4 linked regions of the Danio rerio genome follow. The protein of the gene in region 1 binds, or shares a complex with, the protein of each later gene. Links are inferred from orthologs where the notes say so. Each region holds a gene or a part of one and is shown in the gene's direction. Other genes may lie near its edges.

What was found. The genes of interacting proteins can lie anywhere in the genome.
Region 2: arid1b (region 1) and actl6b share a complex: the UniProt entries of both Homo sapiens proteins name them as parts of the neuron-specific chromatin remodeling complex. The link is inferred for Danio rerio from reciprocal best matches to the Homo sapiens genes ARID1B and ACTL6B.
Region 3: arid1b (region 1) and phf10 share a complex: the UniProt entries of both Homo sapiens proteins name them as parts of the neural progenitors-specific chromatin remodeling complex. The link is inferred for Danio rerio from reciprocal best matches to the Homo sapiens genes ARID1B and PHF10.
Region 4: arid1b (region 1) and dpf1 share a complex: the UniProt entries of both Homo sapiens proteins name them as parts of the neuron-specific chromatin remodeling complex. The link is inferred for Danio rerio from reciprocal best matches to the Homo sapiens genes ARID1B and DPF1.

Annotation. Positions count from the first base shown.
Region 1 is NC_133195.1:5,199,516-5,205,776, reverse strand, and holds the start of arid1b (AT-rich interactive domain-containing protein 1B), read left to right. Parts: upstream 1-2,489; 5' UTR 2,490-2,960; coding exon 2,961-3,974; intron 3,975-6,261. UniProt on the Homo sapiens protein: Involved in transcriptional activation and repression of select genes by chromatin remodeling (alteration of DNA-nucleosome topology).
Region 2 is NC_133198.1:48,258,791-48,265,119, reverse strand, and holds the start of actl6b (actin-like protein 6B), read left to right. Parts: upstream 1-2,505; 5' UTR 2,506-2,661; coding exon 2,662-2,686; intron 2,687-6,329. UniProt on the Homo sapiens protein: Involved in transcriptional activation and repression of select genes by chromatin remodeling (alteration of DNA-nucleosome topology).
Region 3 is NC_133188.1:6,007,236-6,013,554, forward strand, and holds the start of phf10 (PHD finger protein 10), read left to right. Parts: upstream 1-2,495; 5' UTR 2,496-2,512; coding exon 2,513-2,581; intron 2,582-3,342; coding exon 3,343-3,449; intron 3,450-5,663; coding exon 5,664-5,794; intron 5,795-5,931; coding exon 5,932-6,015; intron 6,016-6,230; coding exon 6,231-6,319. Other genes in the region: actr2b (actin-related protein 2-B), read right to left, coding at 1,991-2,038. UniProt on the Homo sapiens protein: Involved in transcription activity regulation by chromatin remodeling. Belongs to the neural progenitors-specific chromatin remodeling complex (npBAF complex) and is required for the proliferation of neural progenitors.
Region 4 is NC_133190.1:16,402,068-16,408,427, reverse strand, and holds the start of dpf1 (zinc finger protein neuro-d4), read left to right. Parts: upstream 1-2,536; 5' UTR 2,537-2,614; coding exon 2,615-2,724; intron 2,725-6,360. UniProt on the Homo sapiens protein: May have an important role in developing neurons by participating in regulation of cell survival, possibly as a neurospecific transcription factor. Belongs to the neuron-specific chromatin remodeling complex (nBAF complex).

The DNA of each region.
Region 1 (6,261 bases):
GGTGTCTTGCAGGGTTTAGCTCCAACACCACCTGCTAGTAAGTTTCTCTTGTAAAGCTGCGGTCACACCATAGTTTGAGTTTGCGAAATTCTGTCGTACAGCGCTGCGAAAAGGAGCGGGATCAAACAAGATGATTAGACATTTAAAAAGCGAGCGATTGCTCCATATTTTACATATCAGTCCAGAAAGGTCATGTTTTGACCCTCGATTGGTCTCATGCAGTCAAGCGATGCAATTTCGCAGGTCAGAGTTCACCAAGCTTGACCTTTGCACCGCAGCATCCTGCAAAACTTGACGCATGACCCTGTGTTTCCGGTCTGACCATTCGCGTGCGTATGAATGGAAGTCATGGGAGGAAAAGCCCAGTGTGACCACAGCTTAAGAGCTTGACTACCTGGTTCAGGTGTGGTTGAGTAGGGTTGGAACTAAACTCTTCAGGACACCGGCCCTTCAGGACTGAGTTTGAACCCCCCTGCGCTAGACCATAACCTTGTGACTTTTCAGAACGTTAAAGGCTTTTTCAGTCTGTAAATTTACTACAGCGGTTATAAACAATCATTCATTTGTTTTCCTTCGGCTTAGTCCCTTATTTATCAGGGGTCACCACAGCAGATTGAACCGCCAACTATAGCTGTAAGAACAATTATCTTACTGTCGTCCTGACTTAAGGTGAACATAAGAATCCTCAATGCATCATGCAGTGATCTGTAAATGAAAATCATCCACAAAAAAAAGTTTGCGTCACATGATTCAATTTCATTTAAAAATAAAAACTTCAAAAACAATCAAATTAACTAATTTAGATGAGTTTATTACAAAATTGTGACAAAAAATGCACACAAATCTTGTGTGGTGCTGCTTTGACGCGATGCCCCAAAATTATATCTATCCTAGTTTTTAATGAAACGAATAATTTATGAACATTCATACATTTTTCAATCCCATTTAAGAAATTTAACCTTTTTAAAAAAATGCCCAAAACAATTAATACATCTAACAAAAATTCATATTTCATATATAAATAAAAGAACCAACCTTCTTATTATTAAAAGGTATTAGTGTATATGATAAGAAATGCAACAACAAACTCTTCGAATTCTCCAACAAAAAAAAAAATCAAACTGCTCCAAGAGGGAAATCGTATTGGTCAGCGTTAACAGAAGATATTGACTGGAAAAGAACATGGCTTCTCCCATATAAATATGTTATCCCAAGAAGCAAAGGAAGTCCATTTTAAAATTCTGCACAAAATATACCCGGTCGATGCATTTATCTCAAAATTTACTGATATTGCAGTTACTCGTCCTTTCTGTCAGGAAAATGAGGAAACTTCGACTCGCATGTTTTTTACATGTAAAATCTTACTCAAGTTTTGGTCAGATCTATATATTTATTTAAACAAATTACAATCAACAAAACAAATCTTTGAAATTGAAAGATATTATTTGTTATATAGTCCCTTTATTAATCCGGGATCGCCACAGCGGAATGAACCGCAAACTTATCCAGCACGTTTTACGCAGCGGATGCCCTTCCAGCCGCAACCCATCTCCAACACACTCACACACTACCGACAATTTAGTCTATCCAATTCACCTGTACCACATGTCTTTGGACTGTGGGGGAAACCCACACGAAGGCAGGGAGAACATGCAAACTCCACACAGAAATGCCAACTGAGCCGAGGTTCGACCCAGCGACCTTCTTGCTGTGAGGCGACAGAACTACCTACTGTGCCACTGCCTCGCCATGAAGAATATATATATATATATATATATATATATATATATATATATATATATATATATATATATATATATATATATATATATATATATATATATATATATATTACTTTTTATATGGTATGCAAAAAATTGTATCCACAAACAAAATTTCGGAAATCCTTTACCTCATTTGCCAATTGTTAATTGAAATTGATTTCTTGCTTAAAGCAAAAATTCTGCAAGTTAATAGAAACTTATGAAAATATCATGCTTCCAGTAAGTTAGTTTTTAATACTTTCTGTGTTTTTTATTTACTTTTGTACTGTCCCCTTTCTTTATTTTATTCTCTTTTTTCTTTTCTTTATTTAATTTTTTCTCTTTCTATTACTTTCTGTTCTTATCACTTTGTATTTGTATGTACTTGTGTTCCAGTCTCCTACATATTACTTCCTGATTTATATTGTACATTTCTTCTTTTCTAAATAAAAGTTTATTTAAAAAAAAAAAAAGTTTTAATGAAAAAAAAAAAAAAAAAAAAAAAACAGACCTCCCTGAATAATTAGTTTTTCCACTTTATGGGGGGGGGGGTCCCTTTGGTCCAAACACTGGTCCAACAGTCACATGAACTCTCTTATGTTTAATAAAGATGAGATTGATTAAAATGTGATGTGAGGAAATCCAAAATTGTTAACCGGCCGCGCCGTGTTTTCCAGCAGACTCTGCGCAGAGAGCTGAAGGAGATGCTCGATAATGCCATGCTGGAGCAAAGGGGCTCCGGCAGGGGTCTTATACGCACATTTGTACACGCTCACATTTGCCTCTGTGGGAATGGGGAAGTTTGATATTAGAAATAAACTTTCCAGTTTGCGAAAATGCGTTGAAGTCTCCGCTCGCCTCAGAGCAGTACCAGTTAAACGCATATTGGTGTCATTTGTCTTCGTCTCAAACGCATCAGTAATTGTTTTCACAGCTCGTGCCCAGCACACATTCACCCACTGACAGGACAGCGGTGGCGAACGCTCCATCCTCAAATCGCAAGCCCACATATATATAGCTATACCGGCGTGAATGAGGAGAAAACTGTGCGATATGGGGCAGACGATGGCACAGCGCTACCCCAATGAATAATGTAGATGGGCATCAGCAGCGTGCGGCTATAGAGTCTGCGAAAACACAGACGCTGGGGGAAATAAACCTACAGACTTTAATGCTCGTTTAAACGCGACTTCGAGTATGGAAACGGGTCTGGTCGCGAATCATCAAGTGAAAAATGTTGGACGCGGAGATCCCCCTCCTTCGCCTCATCATCGCACACCTCCACAGCAACAGTCGCGAGCATTCCATCAGCAGCACCAGCAGCGAGCCGCGCACAACAACAACAACATCTCCATCACCATCCACAGCAGCAGCAACCGCGCAGATCCGCAGCATGGAGGAAAAGAAGACGCTCTGGAGGCGCAGGTCGATCGCCATCCGCGTTTGCTGAACACAGGCGACGAGGAGGATCGCTCGTCCAAAACCGGGGGGGATCGAATGGGCAGCAGGTACGAGCACTCCAACTTTGGACCAGCGAGCAACAATAACAACAACAACAACAGCGGCGGCGGAGGCAGCGCGTCCCAAAGCGGGAGCAGCTCAGTTTCTGAGTTTAATAATTATTACGGGAATGGAAGAGGAGGGCCTTGCTTTGATCAACATGGCGGACAACAAAGCCCTAGGACGGCTTTAATACATCAGGCACCGGGCAACATGGATCAAGTGCAGAACTCCCACGAAGGGTACCATAATAATCCGTACAACCACTATCCCAACTACCGGCCGGGGTACGGCGGCGCTGGATACGGTATGATGAGCCCGTCGCGGCAGGGGAACATGATGGGCCCAGGTACCAATTCGCCTACCGCTGCTGCTGCTAGCCATGGCAAGGCTGCTATGGCCTCGACCACCCCGGCTCCTGGTGCCAATGTTGGGAGCTTTCAGAGGTTTCCCGGACAAAACCAACAGCACCCTTCTGGAGCTACACCCACCCTGAACCAGCTCCTGACATCCCCGAGTCCGATGATGCGGGGATACGGTGGCGGCTATCAAGATTACAGCAACCCGCCATCGCAGCAGCAGCAGTCGGGTATGGGTTTGGGCAAAGACATGAGCTCCCCGTACAGCCCAGCTGCCAGCCACAGCTGGGCAGCACAACAAAGAAACCACCCGGCAATGAGCCCCGGGAACAACGGCAACAGCAGAGCCCAGGTGAACGCTTTAGCTTTCCTTATGTGTGTGTGTTCAAGTTTCGCATGCAGGTCTAGCTGTGGCCCGATGCTACCCTTAATATCAGCTTGGAATGTATTAGTTTACGTTCATTGAATGCACGTGACGTGCATGAACAGTTAAATAACATGCTGATGTTGATCAGGCTTTGTTATTTCCCAGTTTTGGGCTTGTCTGTGGCTTGACAGGCAGCAGAACATGCCAAGTTCTGCCCAAGGTGACTGTGCTAACAGTGTTAGCATGTGTTAGCCTGCACCGAGACTTCATATATGCTTAGAAAGATTCCTATTTCAGCAACCGGATATGCAGCGCGGCTTATGTTCGTATACACAGTAAAACAATGAAGCATAATCACTATTAAATCCGTGTCATGTTATTGAACACATGATCGGCTGCGATTCCGCTAAAGATCTCGATCGGTGCAGTTCAATGATGGAAGATTCTAGCATTGCGTTGCTACTAAGTAAAAAACCCACTGCTAACGCTTTTTATTCACTCGAATAAAGCGACTAATTGAGTTAACGATTCTTTCCATATAAAAATTCGTTTTCGTTTTTGACGTATGGTTACCGGTTAGCACTGTCTGTCTGAAACTAAGTGCTAGACGGCGTTTTCAGAGCACAGGGCTACTGATTAGCATTGCTAGCTTGTATTAGCGCCATTGCGCCCGTCTGGCTTCACTTCATTATGCAGTAATTAATGTTTTCACATTCACCTCACACTCACTTGCTGTTATTTCTTTAGGCTATCTGTACATGGTTTTATACACGAAAATCTTTTAATTTATAAGATATGATAAGGCGGGCTGGTGTATTTCAAAACCTAGGCAGCTCACTGGGTTTTGTGACAACATTAAACTAGTATTTGTCTAGGTAGGTGACTCACTAGACTTCAGCATACTGATGCCTAAAATGCTGTCTAGCTAGGCTGTGTATAATGTAAAAAAACAATAATATCCAAAATAGTATGAATATAATGTCTTAACATCCTAGTATTTTTGTTTTGAGTCAGATGTTAACAGTCTATAGGTAGCTTCAATAGTTTATCACCTTGGATTATACATTCAAGCTATTCAGGTTACTAGTTTTCATGTTCGATTTTAGTGATAAATTGACTTCGCTGCTTAATATGTTTTTATGCGTGTCTAGAGGAAAAGCTGATGAATCTATTGGAATAGTTTAGCATAAATTAATATTCATTCAGCTAAATGCTGTAGGCTGTTTCTTTGTCAAACAATAAATGCTGGTAATGTTTGTTTTGCTTTAACTATTAATGCAGTCATTTGGTGCCTTAAAATCAAATATTTCATATGTACCTGATCATATGTATTTTCTGTTTTGAGTTATTCCATAATTCAGAATCTGTGTCGCCAAATACTCAAGTGAATCTGATTTCCTCGTATAGTTTTTCCACAAGAGGTTAAAGCTGCCCGCTTTCAGTTCTCCAGTTCTGCATCTTATGCGATCAGATGCTGTTTGGCCGCAGGCGCTTCTCTGTATGGATGAGCAGTTCTGACCTTCACACATGCAGATTAGCCATGCTTTCATAGTGGCACATGAAGAACATTTGCGCTGGATTGCCCAGGGTAATCCCAAGGTCTGCCCAGACTGTAAGGGATGCCAAGAAACCCGATAGCCTTTAAGCCTTCCATTCATTCTTGACAGATTTTGTATGACACTTTAAGCGTCTTGACACCTTGGCAAGTTATACAGTTTAAAATAAAGGTTAATAAAGGAAACACATATTGTTTATACATATAAAAAAATTTTGTCAGGAAAAAAAAGGTCTTGTGTGCTTCTCTTTTTACTCCTTTTTGTTAGTTTCCTTCCAAGCGAATACATTTTCTTCGATTGCTGACTTATAAATGCATTTAATTTGAGTTAAAATATGAAATATAATAACATTATAATAACATAAATATGTTGCACCCAGTGCTAGATACTGATTCAGATGCCCAGATTAGATTCAGTATCACAAGCGGTCATTTGGATTTAGAAATCTTGATCTGATTTGCTTCAGTAACTATAGATTAATATTGATATTTCGAAAAAATAAACAATGAGCGTTACTTTATTATGGTGGCAAAGAAAGCTCAGATACACTAAGCTAAGAAAAGACCGTACTCCAGATTTCATGCTCACGTTTGGATTTACTAATGATGAAATGAATGTGAGAATGTGCGTTGGTCCAGGCCAACTTCATGTCTGGTGTACGTGTATTTCTTGTGTGTGTTTGTTTTATTTCCATTGGCGACTCCGAGGCAATCATG
Region 2 (6,329 bases), on another chromosome or scaffold:
TATAATAACAATAAAATAATAATAATAATAGGCCTATATACTACTACTACTAATAATAATAAAATTATAATAACAATAAAATAATAATAATAATAATAATAATAATAGGTCTATATAAAATAATAATAATAAAATTATAATAACAATAAGGTAGAGCTTCACAGTTTTTCTAGCCTCTCTTGTAAAAACATTTGAAGATTCATGGGTAACAACAGTTGTATTTAAACTATTTTAATTTGATGTGTTTTCAATGGATTATTTTCACTTTTTATGATGGCATGGCAGTCAAAATAGGACAAATGAGCTCATATATGGGACATACGGGTCTGAATTCATGTGTACAAACCGGATATCATCAAGATAATAGTCTACACATGCACATATAGTCTAATAATAGACATAAGTCATCTAGATGTGTATATAACGTTATCATTTATTTGTTGACTTTATTTTCCACTTAATTAAATGTCCTTCTGTCTTCTTGTATTAATGAATTATGATTTCCAAAACCTGTAATTAAACAACAGGGCTACAGGTTTAAATATACAGACAGTCTAAAGCTTTATCAGGCGTATTTAGAACAAGAATCACTTGATGGCATTTAACACCTCTATTTATGGACCACGGCCCATATAACAGCCTATTTAATTAATTATAGATTTTGTATCGCGCATGTCGCATAGGTCTATATATTTCACTATATTACACCTATAAACCTGAGCCTACACTATTCTGGCTACTTGAGCAGAAGTTAAATTAATTCAAATGTATTCAAAGTACAATGTCAATCACAATGTCAGTGATCCTGCATGTCAGAATATTATTCACGGGATTTCTGTGGTGTTTTTCAGACTGTTTGTTCATGATAACGATTTTACTGAAGCGCATGACAGTCACATGCGCGCGCAAACACCGGAGCCGAGACAATCACGACGTGTCTGCGTGTGTGTGTGTGTGTGTGTGTGTGTGTGTGTGTGTGTGTGTGTGTGTGTGTGTGTGTGTGTGTGTTGGTTTAGGAAAAACCTGGATGCAGGTGTTTCCTGATAATACCACACACACAAACACACACACACAGAGAGAGAGAGAGAGAGAGAGAGAGAGAGAGAGAGAGAGAGAGAGAGAGAGAGAGAGAGAGAGAGACGCACACACGCGCACACACCTAGATTATTATAAATGAATCATTGATTATTATTGATTATATATCAATGCTAAACTGTTGATTGTTTAATGTAGTTTATTCTGATATATTATTATTTTTAATATGATATTTTCACTTATTTAATTATTATATCTATATATAATTTTTTATACTTCTACTACTGTTTGCTGTGTTTATTGTGTTTTTTAAATTTATATATGCATGTTCTTTTTTTTTTTTACTTTATAAATGCTTGGCAATACATTTGTCATGTCAATAAAGCGATTATTGAATTAAATTTAATTGAGAGAGAGATAATACAATTCAGTTCATTTTTAGTTGTATAGCGCTTTTACAATGTAGATTGTGTCAAAGCAGCTTCACACAGAAGATTATAGTAAATTGAAACAGTGTAGTTCAGTTTTCAGTGTTTAAGTTCAGTTCAGTTTAGCTCAGTTCAGTGTGGTTAAAGATTAGAGAGAGAGAGAGAGAGAGAGAGAGGGGGGGGGAAGAGGGAGATAGAGAGAGAGAAAAGTTAATTGCATAACAAATAATAATAATAATAATTGCATGACAAATGTTAAAAATGTTTCGCCAGAGCATTTATAAAGTTTACATTAAATTTAAAAAAACATACATATATAATAAAAAAGTTAAAAATAAAAAAATTATAATATATATATATATATATATATATATATATATATATATATATATATATATATATATATATATATATATATATATATATTCTTGTGTATCATATTCACATAGATCAATAAAAAATAGTAATATATCAGAATAAACTGTACATTTAACAGTAAACATTATAGGATAAAACAGTAATAAAATCAATAATAATCAGTATTTTTACAATGATTTACTTATAATAATTTACACACACACACACACACTTTCTCTCTTCTCTTACATAGTGTGACCGCAATAATCAGTTTCCACTGTTTCCTCTGAACAATTAATGTGGCAAATAAACACTTAATAAAAGAAACACTTTATTTTACACAAATTAATATTTTGCACCATATAGGCAACTGCTTTATTACATATTTATAATTTTTCTAGCCATTTATGAAACGATGCTTTATGAAATTAATGCTAAACAAAATTTGTCTGGATTTATTTTTTTGGGAAACTTGCTGTACTCCGTGCATATGATTCGTGCAGCTGTTTCCGTCATCTAGGATGCGAGATCATGAGAATAAATCAGCTTTACAATAAATCTGATATCATTGTGTTCCATCATATGATCAATTCTCGTATTCGTCATTAGTCTAAATAAACGGCGGGAATGTTCTGCAGCAGCACGTGACAGCGCGAGAGGCTACCGGACACTGGCCGGTTACCGTCAGCAGCGCGTGACCGGTGACAGCAACAGCGAGACGCGCGTGCGCGTGCAGGAATAATCGGTTCCGTTATTTCCCCATCATACCCTCAGTGAACCGAACACACGACCTCCCGAACACACCCGGTAGGAGCGGCGGGTCCGGATCAATCCTCACGCGATGAGCGGCGGCGTGTACGGCGGAGGTAAGAGCGATCCCGCATCACCATGACAACCGCATCCGCGAGCCGGCAGCATCAGCCTCAGCGACGTTACGGTACAGTGTGGGGAAACAGTGTTTACACGGTGCGACACGCAGGAAATACACGCTTTTACCATGGTGAATGTTAAAAGCGTGTCTCATCAGCTCCTCCGGACACTATGATAGCATGAGGACTTGCTCTTCCAAGTTGTAGACACTGGGGTGTGTTTAACAGCAAAGCACTAGCCATATTTCCGCTTCAGCGTTTAAAAGCTTGACGTTTAATTAATAAACCTGACTGCTGATTCTTCTTAAGATTCACAGGGAACACCAGAATAAACCCGTTACTCATCATTTTAATCATGCACTCTAAAAATGCTGAGATGTCAACCATAGGTCTAACATGGACAAACCCGACCACTGGGTTATTCATATTCCACTGAAAAAGACGCTGGGTTTGTCCATATTTGACCAAACACTGGTGATCATCTATTCAAAACACCTGTGTTAAAATGTCATGTTAAGAAAATAACTGAGCAACTTCTGCTGAAACTATTCTGCTTATCTAATTTCACACACACACACACACACACACACACACACACACACACACACACACACACACACACACACACACACACACACACACACACACACACACAGTAATATCAGATCAGATCTGGCTGATGGTTTATAATAGGGCTGCTGGCTGCACGATATATGGTCTCAGTATCGATATCACCATGTGTGCATCTGCAATAGTCACAACACACACACTGTCAGAAAAGATGGTAGGGGAGCGCAGGGCACAAAGTAACGCAGGGTTAAATGCAACAGAGTTTTAAGGTATTTGCTCAGGGTTAACCATGGCATGCTTCCAAGGTTTCACCACACTGTCAGCAGACGTCTTCCTGCCAATTCTTGAAAAAATTAGGCAAAATTTGGATGAGAAACACTACATAAACCATTTTTGCAGCATAAAAGTATTTTTTATTAAAGTCAATATTTTTTTATTTAAAAAAAAAACCTGTGAAAGTATGTCAGAAAAATCTTATATTGTTGTGATCACCGTCTTCTAAAAGATTAAACCATTTTGAAAGATGTAAAACACACACAGTGACTGCGAGCCAGTTTTGAGGAAAACATGACACAGAAGGGTAGTTAGTTTTAACGGTGTTACAATTAAGCCACACACTGTTGGACACCTATTAAACCAACAAAATATATATTTTTTTAATTTTGAGTGTGATGTTGAGAACTTTTTAAATAAAACAGCTTTTTTTAATATAACATTTTTTTATTTAATAGAAAAAAATATTTTATCGCTAATAATGCAAATAAATGCATTGTATAATAATGAATAAATAAATAATAATGCAAATTCAAATGTGTTTATCCAATAAACAAATAAATGAAAATAAATAAGCATACTGTGCTATGTAGAATAAAACAGAAATGAGCCAACTATTGAGGAAATATAGCTATATTATTTAAAGTAAACTCAATTTAAATTATGTGACGTAGTGGCGCAGTAGGTAGTGCTGTCGCCTCACAGCACGAAGGTCGCTGGGTCGCTGGTTTGAACCTCGGCTCAGTTGGCGTTTCTGTGTGGAGTTTGCATGTTCTCCCTGCGTTCGCGTGGGTTTCCTCGGGGTGCTCCGGTTTCCCCCAGTTTGCCCACAGTCCAAAGACATGCGGTACAGGTGAATTGGGTAGGCTAAATTGTCCGTAGTGTGTGTGTGGATGTTTCCCAGAGATGGGTTGTGGCTGGAAGGGCATCCGCTGCGTAAAAGCCTGCTGGATATGTTGGCGGTTCATTCCGCTGTGGCAACCCCGGATTAAAAAAGAGACTAAGCCGACAAGAAAATAAATGAATGAATTTAAATTAATTGTGAAATCTGCCTTTAAATGCATGTGTTACATCAAACTCCCTGTCTGTTACAATTTGCTCCGTGGGTGGGGTGAATTGTAACGTTTTTACTCCTGGCACTTTTGGCAATACTGCACAGAAACCACAGGTCTGGTGATCATAATTCCAGTGCTCATTTGTAGGAGAGGCTTGTGTGTTATTGGTAAAAAAACATGGTTTGTCTAACCCCATTACTTTGTTTATTATTTGGCCAAAACCAAAAAGTGTTACTTTGTGCCCTGCTCTCCTCTACAAACCCTTGACACTGTGCCTTTTTATGAGACAGAATTGTAGCGTAAGACAAAGAAACACATTTGTACCATTGCAGTTTGCACCTTTAAGGACGTCGTTTGTACCATGGGAAAATAAAATGTCCCTTTGGTTTTTAAAACCTGCAGATACAATATTGTAGCTTCATCAGAGGTACAAATCTGATCCATGAAGGCACTACTACAGTGACAAGACAAAGCAAACCGTAACTGTCAGATGTGTTCCTTCAAGAACTATTTAAAGGTGTTTTGCTTTATCCAAAATGCCTTAATTTATTCATTTATTTATTTTTTTGCCCAGTTAGTCCCTTTATTAATCCGGTGTCGCCACAGTGGAATGAACCGCCAACTTATCCAGCAAGTTTTTACGCAGCGGATGCCCTTCCAGCCGCACCCATCTCTGGGAAACATCCACACACACACACACATTCATACACTATGGACAATTAAGCATACCCAATTCACCTGTACCACATGTCTTTGGATTGTGGGGGAAACCGGAGCCCCCGAAGGAAACTGCCCCGCGAAGGCAGGGAGAACATGCAAACTCCACACAGAAACGACAACTGAGCCGAGGTTCGAACCAGCGACCTTCTTGCTGTGAGGCGACAGCACTACCTACTGCGCCATCACCAGACCTCAAAAGTATCAAATAATAATAACAATAATAAATAAACAAACAAATCAAATAATTTTACAAAGACTTCAAAAAGCATGACAAAAGTTAAAAAATGTAATAATTTCATAATAAAAAGTGTACAATCTCAGTGAATTAGCTACGTCAGTGGCGCTGATCAGTCCACAATAATTTAGTGGCTGAATATTATTCATTTATTCATTTATTGAAATATTGTGAATTCACGCAAGTACATTTAGATTAATAATATCAACAACTAAATCATATTGGGGTGGCCACAGGGGGTGCCCCTGATCTAAACTCTTCATAAATGTTTCCAGGGCCGGAGTGGGACTCCTTTTCAGCCCTGGAGTTTCAAGCCTTACGCCCCATTCACACGAGGCTTCAGCGTCAACACTTGACTGAAGGCATGTCTGAAGTATTTTGCATACAGTCTGTTTGTATTTGCATACAGCAATCTGATTGGCTGACGCTTCCGTCAGCGCTTGAAAAGTTGAGCTAGTCCCAACTTCTGCAGCGAGCAACGCCTCTGAAGCGGCCCCGACAGATCCACAATGCAGTTCGGCAACGCCTAATGTCAAAGTGAATGGGAAGCGTTGATGCTGACGCCCCGTGTGAATTGGGCCCACTTCAGTGCAGTATCTGAGTATATATTCTGTGCTAAATTCTTTATGGATATCCAGTCCTTTTTAACGGTGGTCACACACACACACACAAAAAAAAAATATATATATATATATATATATGTACACCTACATAAGTAACCCAAAGAGTATTATACAGTATATCTTAACAATAATAAAATAATAATAATAATAATAAGTGAAGTTTA
Region 3 (6,319 bases), on another chromosome or scaffold:
TGAAAAATACACGCTTAGAGCAGTTCCTCGAATCAAATATCTCGTTTGTCGCGAGGGGCATGAATGAATTCCCTGAATGAAAGAGCCAAACTGCAGTTAAAGTCCAGCATTTAATAATTTGGCAAATAATTTGACTACAGATGTCCATGTAAACACAGTCACTTTCTCCCCTGTGTGTGTGTGTTTTGACTCTGAAACTCGCGCATACCAAAATAGACACTCTCACACCATCCCACTTTAGTTCCTCCGACACTCCCCCCTAAACAGAGCTGGACACGCCCACTTTTCTGACTTTTTCTAAAGTAGAGGTGTGAAAACACCCTGCTGAAACGAGGGGGTTTCATGGCCCTTTAAAGTTGTAAAAAAAAAAATAAGTTTAAAGGAACCCAGCATTTTTTACAGTGTAAAATGGCAATTATATGCAATTGTTTTTGTAAGTTTATGCATGATCCGTCATCACAGACTCTTACATAGCTTTTTGTTTTAATCCAGGCTCATCAGACATTCTGCAAGAAGAAATCTATGAAAATAAAGTGATTGACCAGTGTACTACTAGACGACTACTATCAGCCCTTTCACACATTTAACCTTTTCTGCAAAATTGCCAGCAACTTTCCAGACCAGGATCATGAGAACAGCCCTCATTTTGTTCAAAGAAATAGTTCACCCAAAATAAAAATAGAAACAAATCGTACTTATAGTCCAGTGGTTCTAAACTTCAACAAATGTCTTTCTTCTACTGAACACAAATCAAGACACAAGGAGTCTGAAGAATGCTGAAAAAAAAAACAGTCATTGACATCCATAGTAGTAGGATCAAAAATACAATACTATGAAAGTGAATGGTTGTTTTTTCCATCATTCTTAGTCTTCTTTGTGTTCAACAGAAGAAAATAAACTTTTTAAAACACCTTTTTAAAAGGGATGGTCATTTTGTGTTGACTTTCCCTTTAAGACACTGAACAATAGTTTTTTACTCAAAACTTCTAATGATAATAAACCTTCCTGAACATTAAGAAAGAAGTTAAGTCGCTTGTTTCTTCCAGCTCGTGTGAATCGTTTATAACAGATCTTTGAATAAAAAAAAACTGTAATGTCTTGTTTCTCATCTTAACACTATTCCAAAAATGGTCTGGAGGCTTTCACGCTCGTTCATTGGTCATTCGACATGTAGAGAAATGCTTTCAGGCTGTGGTTTTGACATCACTTCCTTCTGACTCATGCTTCTCTGTTTCACTGACTTGGTTTGTTTACTAAAAATACATTATTAAAACATTCACATTACTTCTTCTTCTACCTCGAGTTGAGCTTCAAACATGCTGACGTCGCCAAAATTGTGATGTCAGGACAAAACCAGCGAAATTCCAGAGCTCACTATATCAGCATTATTCTAATGTGCAAAGAATGTATTGAATGATTAACCAGGATTGAGCATCACTGAACATTAGTGCAGCTCCTATCCACTGAAACCGAGAGATGAGGAAGTGCCATCACCCATAGCTTGTAATATGCAAAAATAGTTTGAAAGCAAGTGGCAGCAACATTCACAGTGAATGGGGAATGGCATGTAACCATAGCAACGCAAAATTCATATTAATAATATGTTATGCAAGAAAGCTGCTAGCATATCGCTGCAAGAATGAGCTCTGAAGGTTTGGTCATGCAGTTAATTCGATTATTTGTGTCAATGTGTTGTTATTATTGTATTATGAAGCGACATTTGCAGTTAATTCAACCAACGCCATGCTACGATTCTCTCCTAACGAAAGAATATGAGATATCGAGTCTGCTGCAGAATGAAAGCTGGATATAAAGCAGAGAAATAAAGCCACAGTCAGATAACACAGCAGAGAAAGCAGCTGTCAGACATTCTTTATAGCTGCGCTAAGCTTTCATGACTTCCTGTTAGGGGTCTATCGGTCTTATTATCATGTCACTCGAAATAAAAGCTCGACAAGACAAACGTCGCGTGTTAGCGTTGCGGACGTACCCCTGTTCCGTTATCACAAACCACCACTTTTCTTCCTTGGCTGTCCATCTTTCAGAGACCCAGAGGAGCCGTCAGAGGAAGCCGAACTTTCTCAACAAAGTGCTTCTAGCACTCAAACAGCAGCGCAGGGTTTCACTTCCTGTTCCAGACAGTTGCGCGAGAAGACAAGCCTGTTTTTTTTACACAAGCCCCGCCTCCTACGCTGTTTTTTTTTTATAATTGACAAATTTTATTAAATAAAAAAACATTTAAAATGTCTTATCAATTAATTAAAAATAAAAATAATAAAAATAATAAATTTTTAAATTTAATACAAAACATAATTTTAAAATAAATGTAAAACATTTTAAATAGTTTGTAATTAAAATAAACCTTGTCCCAAAAAGTTACCAAAATAGACGTGCAATTAAATAATATTTAGTTTTCAATTTTTTGTTTTTAGAGATAGGAACACTTTGTCGCGTTCCCATTGTGCTAGTTTCCAGCCGGAATGTGACGCCCTTTCATTCGCAGAATAACAACATGGCAGCTGTTCTATCGCCGAGACCGTGCGATAGCAATCCTGCAACTCCTGGGACCCAGTCTATAAAGGTTTGTGATGTTTACTTACTACTTTTTCTTAGCAGAAGCTGCAGATATATCACTCTAGCAATGTAAAACTGTACTTACACCTGTACAGTTTCAGCGTGAGTGTGACGTACATTCGCCTTTGTTTGTTTACCATTAGCCTGTTAACGTTAGCCGAGGTAGCTGAACAGGCCATGCATTTCGAGTAATATTTCGTAAATTGATTAACACAGAAAAGTGGACCCGCAATGACTTATCTAGATGGTTTTGAACAGTCGTTTTTAGTTTATTGGCATGGTATAAACAATCACTGGCCACTTTATTAGGTACACCTTATTTGTACCTGGTTGGACCCCCTTATGCCTTCAGAACTGCCTTAATCCTTCGTGGCATAAATTCAACAAGGTACTGGAAATATTCCTCAGAAATTTTAGTTAATGTTGACATGATAGCATCACACAGTTGCTGCACATTTGTCAGCTGCTTATCCATGATGTGAATTTCCCGTTCCACCACATCCCAAAGGTGCTCTGTTGGATTTAGATATGGTGTCTGTGGAGGCCATTTGAGTACAGTGCACTCATTGTCGTGTTAGTCTGAGGTGATTCACACTTTATGACATGGCACGTCATCCTGCTGGAAGTAGCCATCAGAATATGGATACACTGTGGTGCATGTCAAAATTAGCCACTGAACAAATGTGCGAATATTAAACTTGACCTCAATTTATTTAATGTTAGCCTGCGAATACAGAAATCTATGTGACAGACTTTCTCTTCAAACAGGATGACATTGAGGAGAACTCCAGTGATGGGAGTCAAGCCCCCAAGAGGCGCAGGATGGGCTCAGGAGACAGTTCCAGGAGCTGTGACACTTCCACCCATGAGCTCGGGTCAGCACAATACACACACACACACACACACACACACACACACACCAGTTACAGGTGTTTTTTTTCTGACACTGGTCTGTAAATTCCCTTCAAAATAATTTATGTAAATAGACGTTCTCTCAAAAGTGAACTTATTTAATATAATATGATATATTTAGGATTTTAGCAATTCCATGCAGAGATTAGGTTTACGCCAAATTAGTGAAGACCTTTCAGTACTGTACAAATACACAAAATGTCTGTAAAATGTAAAATTCAAACAGTATTTTTTGTTTATTGTTTTCAATATTGCATCTATAGCGCATGTTTATTTTTCACATTTAAAGTATAAAATAGCTTTCTGCCAACCCGACTCTACACCATAACTTTTCAATCCAGATGGATGGGGCAACCATTACTGCATCCAAAATGGTGAAAAGCATTGGAGTAACGATTGAGGACCAACTAAACTTCTCTGACCCCATTTCTAGAACTGCTCGATCGTGCAGATTCGCACTCTATAACATCAGAAAGATCCGACTCTTCCTATCTGAACATGCAGCTCAACTCCTTATTCAAGCTCTTGTTCTCTCCAAACTGGATTACTGCAACTCTCTATTAGCGGGGCTTCTAGCTGACTCTATCAAGCCTCTTCAGCTGCTCCAGAACGCAGCAGCATGAGTGGTCTTTAATGAACCTAAAAGAGCACATGTCACTCCGCTGCTCATCCGTTTGCACTGGCTGCCAGTTGCTGCTCGCATCAAATTCAAAGCTCTGATGTTTGCTTACAAAGCGATTTCTGGCTTTGCTCCTTCTTATCTGCTCTCACTTCTGCAGATCTATGTGCCCTCCAGAAACTTGCGTTCTGTGAATGAACGTCGCCTCATGGTTCCATCCCAAAGAGGGAAGAAATCACTTTCCCGAACTCTCGCATTCAATCTGCCCAGTTGGTGGAATGAACTCCCTAACTGCATCAGAACGGCAGAGTCACTCGCTGTTTTCAAAAAACGAGTAAAAACTCAACTATTTAGTCTCCACTTTACTTCCTAATCTGCAATTGCCTCTCTGGATATACCACTAACTGTACTCAAAAAAAAAAAAAAAAAACTTTACTAATACTTTCCTTCTTAGACTTTACAGACTTACTTATTCATTGTTGCTCTTATAGTTGTGTAAATTGCTTCCTTGTCCTCATTTGTAAATCGCTTTGGATAAAAGCGTCTGCTAAATGACTAAATGTAAATGTAAGCTTACAGTTTGATATTTTAATCTCTTAACTCTGTGGATAGTTGTTTTGAAAAAGATGTTTTGATATACTGTTATGATGTATATTCTCTGTGAATTTAAGCTTAAATTTTCCTGCAAATGTCACCCCCATAAGGCTGAAATTCCTCACTTGTGTTTCTGTTTAGAGACATTTTATCTTAAGAATATTAACTTAAACGTCTTGTGAAGTGCTCTGAAATAAGCATTTATATTCAATGTTTGACGTAATCTCATCAGAAACACAAAGAAACGCAAAAAAGTGTGGCACACAGCCGGGGTATCTGTAGGGTTTAAAAAGACTTACAATCTCTTTAATTTCAAAAACAACATTTTAGGTCTTAAAAAGTCTTAAATTCACTGAAGTATTGTGCTGTAGCTCTTAAATCTTTTTTAACAAATTAAACATTTTCTATGTCCATGTAAAGCTACCCAATAGGGCTAACACCCATCCAATCACCAACTTTCCATCTCAATACATTTTTTTTTACAAATGATTATTTATCTCTATATACCAATATGGTTTCATTATCTTCCTTAAAATAGCATTTGTTTATATCTAATCTAGATATAGTCTAATCTAATAGTCAAAGCTGAAAACGTTTTCTTGTTTCCAAATGGTTTAAATGAAACCTCAACTTGAAATCTCTTGACTATCCTGCGATTTGCAATAGTCATATTCACACATTGCGAAAGCGATGCTGAAATTATGTATTGTGCAGTCCTAGTTTAAAATAATAATAACTTAAATAATTAGTTTTCCCATAACATTTAAGCATTTTGCAATAGTTTACATTAATAGTATAATTGGTTTATCATAAATGATACATGATTTGTTTTTGTTGTATACGTTTTTTATTGCACTTTAAGGAAAAATAATGGAAAATTCTTATATTGCACATGCAATTCTGGACTGAGAATGTGTGTATGTGATTGTATGTGTGTGTTTTGACCTTTGCTGTTTCATTACAGACCAACATACTTCCCTGCTGAAAACCTGACAGAATACAAATGGCCTCCGGATGACACGGGAGAGTATTATATGTTACAAGAACAAGTGAGCGAGTACTTGGGAGTCACGTCATTCAAGCGCAAATACCCAGGTATGAGTGAAATTGCACTGAGGAATTTGTATGTGCTTGGTCAAATGGGTTTCATTTCCAGATTAAATTATGAAGAGAAGATTTGTTGTGTGGTGTAAACATGTCTTTTTTTCATTCTATTCCACTTCATGTACTAGAAATGGAAAGAAGAGACCTGTCTCACAAGGAAAAACTTTATCTGAGAGAGCAGAATGTCATTACTGAAACACAGTGTACATTGGGTAAGATGTTCATAATCATAGTTTTGCTTCTTGTTCAGCCTACTTATTTAGAATGAGCTGAAACAACACAATTCTGGAGGTTTTTTTACTTACTTGTTTTATGTTCAATCTACTTAAATTTGTATTGTTAACTTAATGGGACGACATGAAATAATTGTGTGGAACCCAGGATTTTTTACAGTCCAAGACTAAACTGAAGTTGAATTTTTCCACAGGTCTCACAGCTCTGCGCAGTGATGAAGTTATCGATTTAATGATTAAAGAGTATCCAGCCAAACATGCTGAATATTCAGTCATTCTCCAG
Region 4 (6,360 bases), on another chromosome or scaffold:
CTTTTTTACACATTTATTTCAAGTGTATTATTTGTATTTTTAACTTGCACTACATTGCATTACATATATACAGTTGAATTCAGAAATATTAGCCCGCTTGAATTATTAGCGCCCTCGTTTATTTTTTCCCAATTTCTGTTTAACGGAGAGCAGATTTTTTCAACACATTTTTAAACATAATAGTTTTAATAACTCATTTCCAATAACTGATTTATTTTATCGTTACAATGATGACAGAAAATAATATTTGACTTGATATTTTCAAGGCACTTCTATACAGCTTACAGTGACATTTAAAGACTTAACTTGGTTCATTAGTTTAAGGCAAGTTAGGGAAATTAGGCAAGTTATTGTGTAATGATGGTTTGTTCTGTAGACTATCAAAAAATATATGAAGAAAAAATATTATCAGACATACTATGAAAATTTTCTTGCTCTGTTAAACATCATTTGTGAAATATTAAAAAACGAAAAAATAAAAAACAATTTAAACGGGGCCTAATAATTCAGGCTTCAACTGTGTGTGATGTTAATAAAAGAAATACATCTAATAACTTTTTTGATGCATTTTCCCACTTCATTTACTAATGTCATGATATATTGTGGATGGTTTTCTTGTGATATATTGATCGTGATCTATCACAATCGGGAAAAACATCATGATAATGTTGTATCATATCGTAATACCTGGATATCTGACTACTTATTTCACTTTTATCTTTGCTCTATCTTATTTATTTATTTTTGCAATATCTTTGATTCTCTCCTCTGCAAGATTATTTCAATCAAAGTTAATGATTTCATTCCAAATAGAGCTATTTAAGTCATCTGCTGAAATTGTATTCATATAAAATATCGCAATGTTAGATTTTTCCAATATCGAGCAGCCTCAAAATACATATATACTGGGGTAAAGCTGGATTTATACTTGCACATTCTGACTTTTTGCTTAATAATATAATTTCAGAAAAGTATTATTTGCAAATTCTAAGTGGCGAAATCATTTTAGCAGCCAATGACTATCAAAGTACAGCATTGTTCACAGTCAAGTAAATAGTGCTGATGTTGTTTTGAAGTCATATGTAATTTCAGACCCAGTATTCAAATTAGCGTTGTAAACAATATTGAATGAATGTGAGAATAAAAAACCTACTTAACCTCAATAAATAATAATAAAAAAAATTATTAATATATATTTATATATATTAGGGTTGCACGGTTTATTGGTACTATGGTAGTGTCGTGATACTGTGGCTTCAAAATGGTGCCACTGTAGTTTGTCAACGGTAGTATCGTCATTAATGGTTTAGCTACAATAGATAATGTTGCATGTCGTAGAGACACTAAAATGCTCACACGCTTGTGGAACAATAGACCATTTTATTTTAATAGTCTGTGGAGCCCTTTAAGGTTGCAAAACAGTAGAATTTGCGCCTTATATGGTAGCCTATTGCACGTTTTCTCACGCTTCAGCTCAAACGCACATCGAGTCATTTCTGTTCCTGTTAATATAATTTAGTAGCTACAACAACTGCAACAATCTCTTTAAAAACACATCTCACAAAGTGACGTTTTGAATTACTTTGGATTGTTACCTGAAACCCAAAATAGCAAATAGTAAAGAATTTTGGACCACTTCATATAGCCTAATTTAGTTGGAAAAAATGCACTTTTGTAACAAATTTCATTTGGTATCATTTGTATCTTTATATTAATGTATTCTTGTTGGTCAGTTTATCTACAAAATAAACCAAAAGAATGAATATATCTTAGTGAGGTGCAAATAATACTTTTTGGCTTTAAAGTAATTATGAATTTAATTCAAGTAGGCCTATTATAACATAAAATATAGTATTTTTGACAATTTTCTTTTATTTTTGACAATTTGACATATAAATTACAGTATCACAATACTACTTGGTATCGTGATTCTTCAGCTGGTATAGTATTGTAGGATTAATTATTCATTTGGTAACAACCATATGTATATATGAGAAAAACTGCTTTACCATAAAATCAATACATAAATTGGTGAAATAATTGTTATAAATGATGCAGAAAAGATTGATCAGGGTTCAGATATAAATATACTGTTTATAGTATATTTATAATATACTATACTATTTAGCCCAGGCACAAAACCCATCAGAAGTCAATGGAAAAAAATGTGTATTCAAATATACATGCATCTGACTAAACATAGCACACATGCAGAAAAATGCTGTGTAATAAAATAATAATGACCAATGACTACCCAAATCTGCTAATCTCAAAGATGAAATATACAACACAAGAACGAACGGCTTGATTTTGCTGCAATCACTCTGAAACTATTCCTCTGCGAATCAAAGAAGCTACCAACATGAGGCAACAAAAAATACTGACAGACAGTCCAGCAATCCAACCTTGAATTTACAGTAGATGTTTTGGCTTACCCACACAAAATCAAGGCGGGACTAGAATACAGTTAACCGCGGTGCATTGTGGTATTTGTAGCACGCGCGCCGACGAGTCCCGACTGCTTCAGGGAATAAAAACTACATTTCCCCGCACTGACCATCAGGCAGCCGCGCTCCCATTGGCTGACCGATCCAGCCGCAGCCCCAGAGAATGAATGAAATTGAAATTGCTGCTATATTACATGTACAATACCGGGGATCTGCAGTCTTACATTGTATCATTCTATATCAAAATGGCCACAGTGGTCCAAAATCCTCTGAAATCGTAAGTAAAAAATATTTCTATTTTGATGCTTTGACTAATGCATGCCATGCAACAAACAGCGCTCGCTCTTATTCACAAATATGCAAACACCTTTAAAAAGTATAAAATGCCGGCGAGGCTCAAACTACCAATGCATGTTGAAATGCAATAAATCATAATGCATGCGACGACATTTTGTCATCTGGGCAAATGTGGCACGTTGTAAAGTGCAGAGTCTCGGGTGTCATTTCTGCATATGCACAGTGATATGGAGGAATGTTGAGAATGTTGACCCGGCGTCCCTGCTCGGTATTGATCACTAGGAACTTACAGTTGTTGCTAATGGAATCGCAGAGTTCACTGGTCACCGACTCTCTGGACAAACGATGATGATGATGATGATGCTCGAACATTTTTTTGCACACGTATGCGATGCCAAATGAAATGAGCATGCAGAAGACAACACTGGCTGTCTAGCTGCATACTAGCCAATGTTACAATTTAACACAATGTGTTTTAATGGTTACATCGCACGCGTTGATAACGTAGATTGTAGAAATGACATTGTAAATACGAAACATCAATGCTAATCCTGAAACAAACACATGTTTTAGCGTGACATTTTAGTTGCGCGTAACATTTGCTATGTCTGGTGCGCCGTTGCATCAATGCACATTCCGTGAAGTTTCCATTAGATTCCTTTGTGCACACTGACACATTTTTTCGGCGTGCGGCACGCAGACGCCACACGGGCTCAGTGCCAAAAATTGCTTTACATTCATCTGTTAGAGACGGGGACCTTCCGAGTGAGGAGACGTGTTTGTATTTGGCAGGAATATGAGACTGTAGCTTCAATATCTCATAAAGGGGCATAGCACTTGTGCCGGGTTTCCTAACCTGAGAGGTTGTATCTCCCTCCGGTAACTACCACGACTGCCTACCTTGACCCAGCACGTCTCCACAACGTTGTATTTTGGTCACAATTGAGCTCAAAACACACTTTAAAATGTTACCCAAAGGTAAAATCGTGTGTCTAAATATGTTTAATATAGTAATACGGTATCTATGTATTAATTTATCTATGATATTTGGAAATTTTTGAAGACTGATTTGGTGATCCATGGTCACATGTAATTGACATTGTGGATTGCACATCTTGTTTTTGTTGGATTTATTGTAAAAATATATACCTGAAATAAAGATTTCGCTAACAGCTTAAATGGAATATGAATAATTTTGGCTATAGTGGAACATATTTGAGAAAGACTGTTGAATTAGTTAAATTGTACTATTATATATATGAAGACTCAAATACATGTCTAAAGTAAACTTAATTCTACACAACATCCTGTTTATAAGCTGATGTATTGATATATTTCTTTTTGAATCAGTGATGGGACGATTAACCCTGCATGCTGTAACTAATAAAGAGAAAGCAATGCTATAACTAGTAGTAGACTTGCGCTACAGAGCTGAGGAGCCTGTACACCTACACGTTACACAATTCATGTGACCCAAAGCTAAAATCGTATGTCTATACTATATGTATAATATATACACATGGTATCTATGTATGTATTTATCTATGGTTTTAGATTAACACAATAAATAAATTGATAATATTGTTGTATACACATCACATAAGCTTTTTTGCATGATGGTGTGAGAAAATGTGCATGCTTTGAAAACTAATAACAGTGCACAGGACAGGGTTCAAGATTTTAGGTACAGTAAATAAGACTTTACATAATGATAATAATCTGAGAATACTAGTGTAATGTAAATGAATAATGTGTTACTATAGTGTTATTCTAACGTGTTATTAATGTGTTATTATAGTGCTTTAGTTCAGGTTTGCACAGCTTCAAATTATGTTTGGCAACTTGAGCTTGACAGGAGTGCAGAAAATATTAGGCCTACAATAACATTACTGCTCTTGTGTCTTTGTGTAGAATTTTATGCTTACTTTATCCTGTCGTAAATACAGACATTCTGAATGCATGGTGGAAGCCATTGGCGTAACCAGTCCTGGGAGAGTTAGTGCTAGATGACATTAAATTGCCATCTGTAGTACCCAATGTACACTGTGTACAAACATGGTATTCTTTGAAGTGTATATATATATATATATATATATATATATATATATATATATATATATATATATATATATATATATATATATATATATATATATATATATATATATCCTATTAGGGCTGGGCAATATGGCAAAAATGCAATCTCAATAATTATTTTATATTTATCTTATATTACGATATAAGTTGTTTAGGCTTCCAGATTTAAAAGAATACCCCTAACAATTACTGAAGCCACAAAAATTTAAGGGTCCATTAAATGGCATAATATATTTTTGGCCGATATATTTTTAGTGTCCAAAAATCTTGTACATCTCAACACACTTTTAGATTTCCATTGTTGCACATTTTTGCAGTGTGATTGGCTCCTAGATCAATATAGAGTAAAAAAGTCCATAGTTTATCATGGTTATTGACATAAATGTTATCATGATTCAATATAATATTGTTTATTTGCCCAGCCCTATCAACAATTCAGTACATTTCTATTTGCAAAACACTTTTAGATTCCCATTGTTGCACATTTCTGCTGTGTGATTGGCTCTTAGATCAATATAAAGTAAAAAAAGTTCAGAGTTTATCATTGTTATTGACATAAATGTTATCGCAATTGGATAGAATATAGTTCATTGGCCCAGCATTGCTGAAAATTCAATACATCTCTAATATCAGCACACTTTTAGATTTCCATTGTTGCACATTTCTGTGGTTTAATGGCTTGTTTCCACTGACTGGTACAGTACTGTACAGTTCGGGTCAGTACGGGTCACCTTTATCAGGCTTGCGTTTCCACTACCAAGGGTACCCTTTTGGTGGGCGTGGTGTATGACAGAAAGTTTCAGTCGACGTCATTTTCGCTCAAGAAATCATCTTTCGTTCACATATCATATGAGAAGCACTTCTCACAAAACAGACGCTTTATACACATAAATACTTCTGTATATATGTTTATAACTAACTTTTCCATCAACATGATTTGATTATAAATGCAGATCAATTACAGTGTCAAATAGTCCACTGTAAATCTGCTCTTTTTATTGGTATTGTGGCTGTTCATCAAGATGATGACAAGGTTTGTTTGAGCTCGGGTCGACCATGGCTCGTTATTATATGTATATATTATGCTGTAATCTCTCGGCTGTGTATTTAAAACATGGCAGTTCCTTTGTTTTCATTCTGGTTCGATTCGATATGCCTTTTGACAGTGGAAACGGTCATTAAAGTGTATTAAACTGTACCGCACCGTACCGTACCACTCATTGGAAATGGGCCATTATCGGCTCTTAAAAAATCCAGAGCTTATCATTGTTATTGACATAAATGTTATCGCTGTTCGATATAATATCGTTTATCATTCCAGCCCTATATCTATATTATATCTTCTGTTTCTGTGTTTTATATGTGGGTGGAGCTAGAAATCACTTAATACACTTTTCTTGCTGTGCCTCTCTGATTAATGGAATGTTCAGTACAGCAACATGGGTAATGTAGTTTTTTGCTCAAACAATGGTTTTGAACACAGCTGTTAAAATACAATAAAAGTGGTGAGACAGAGAGA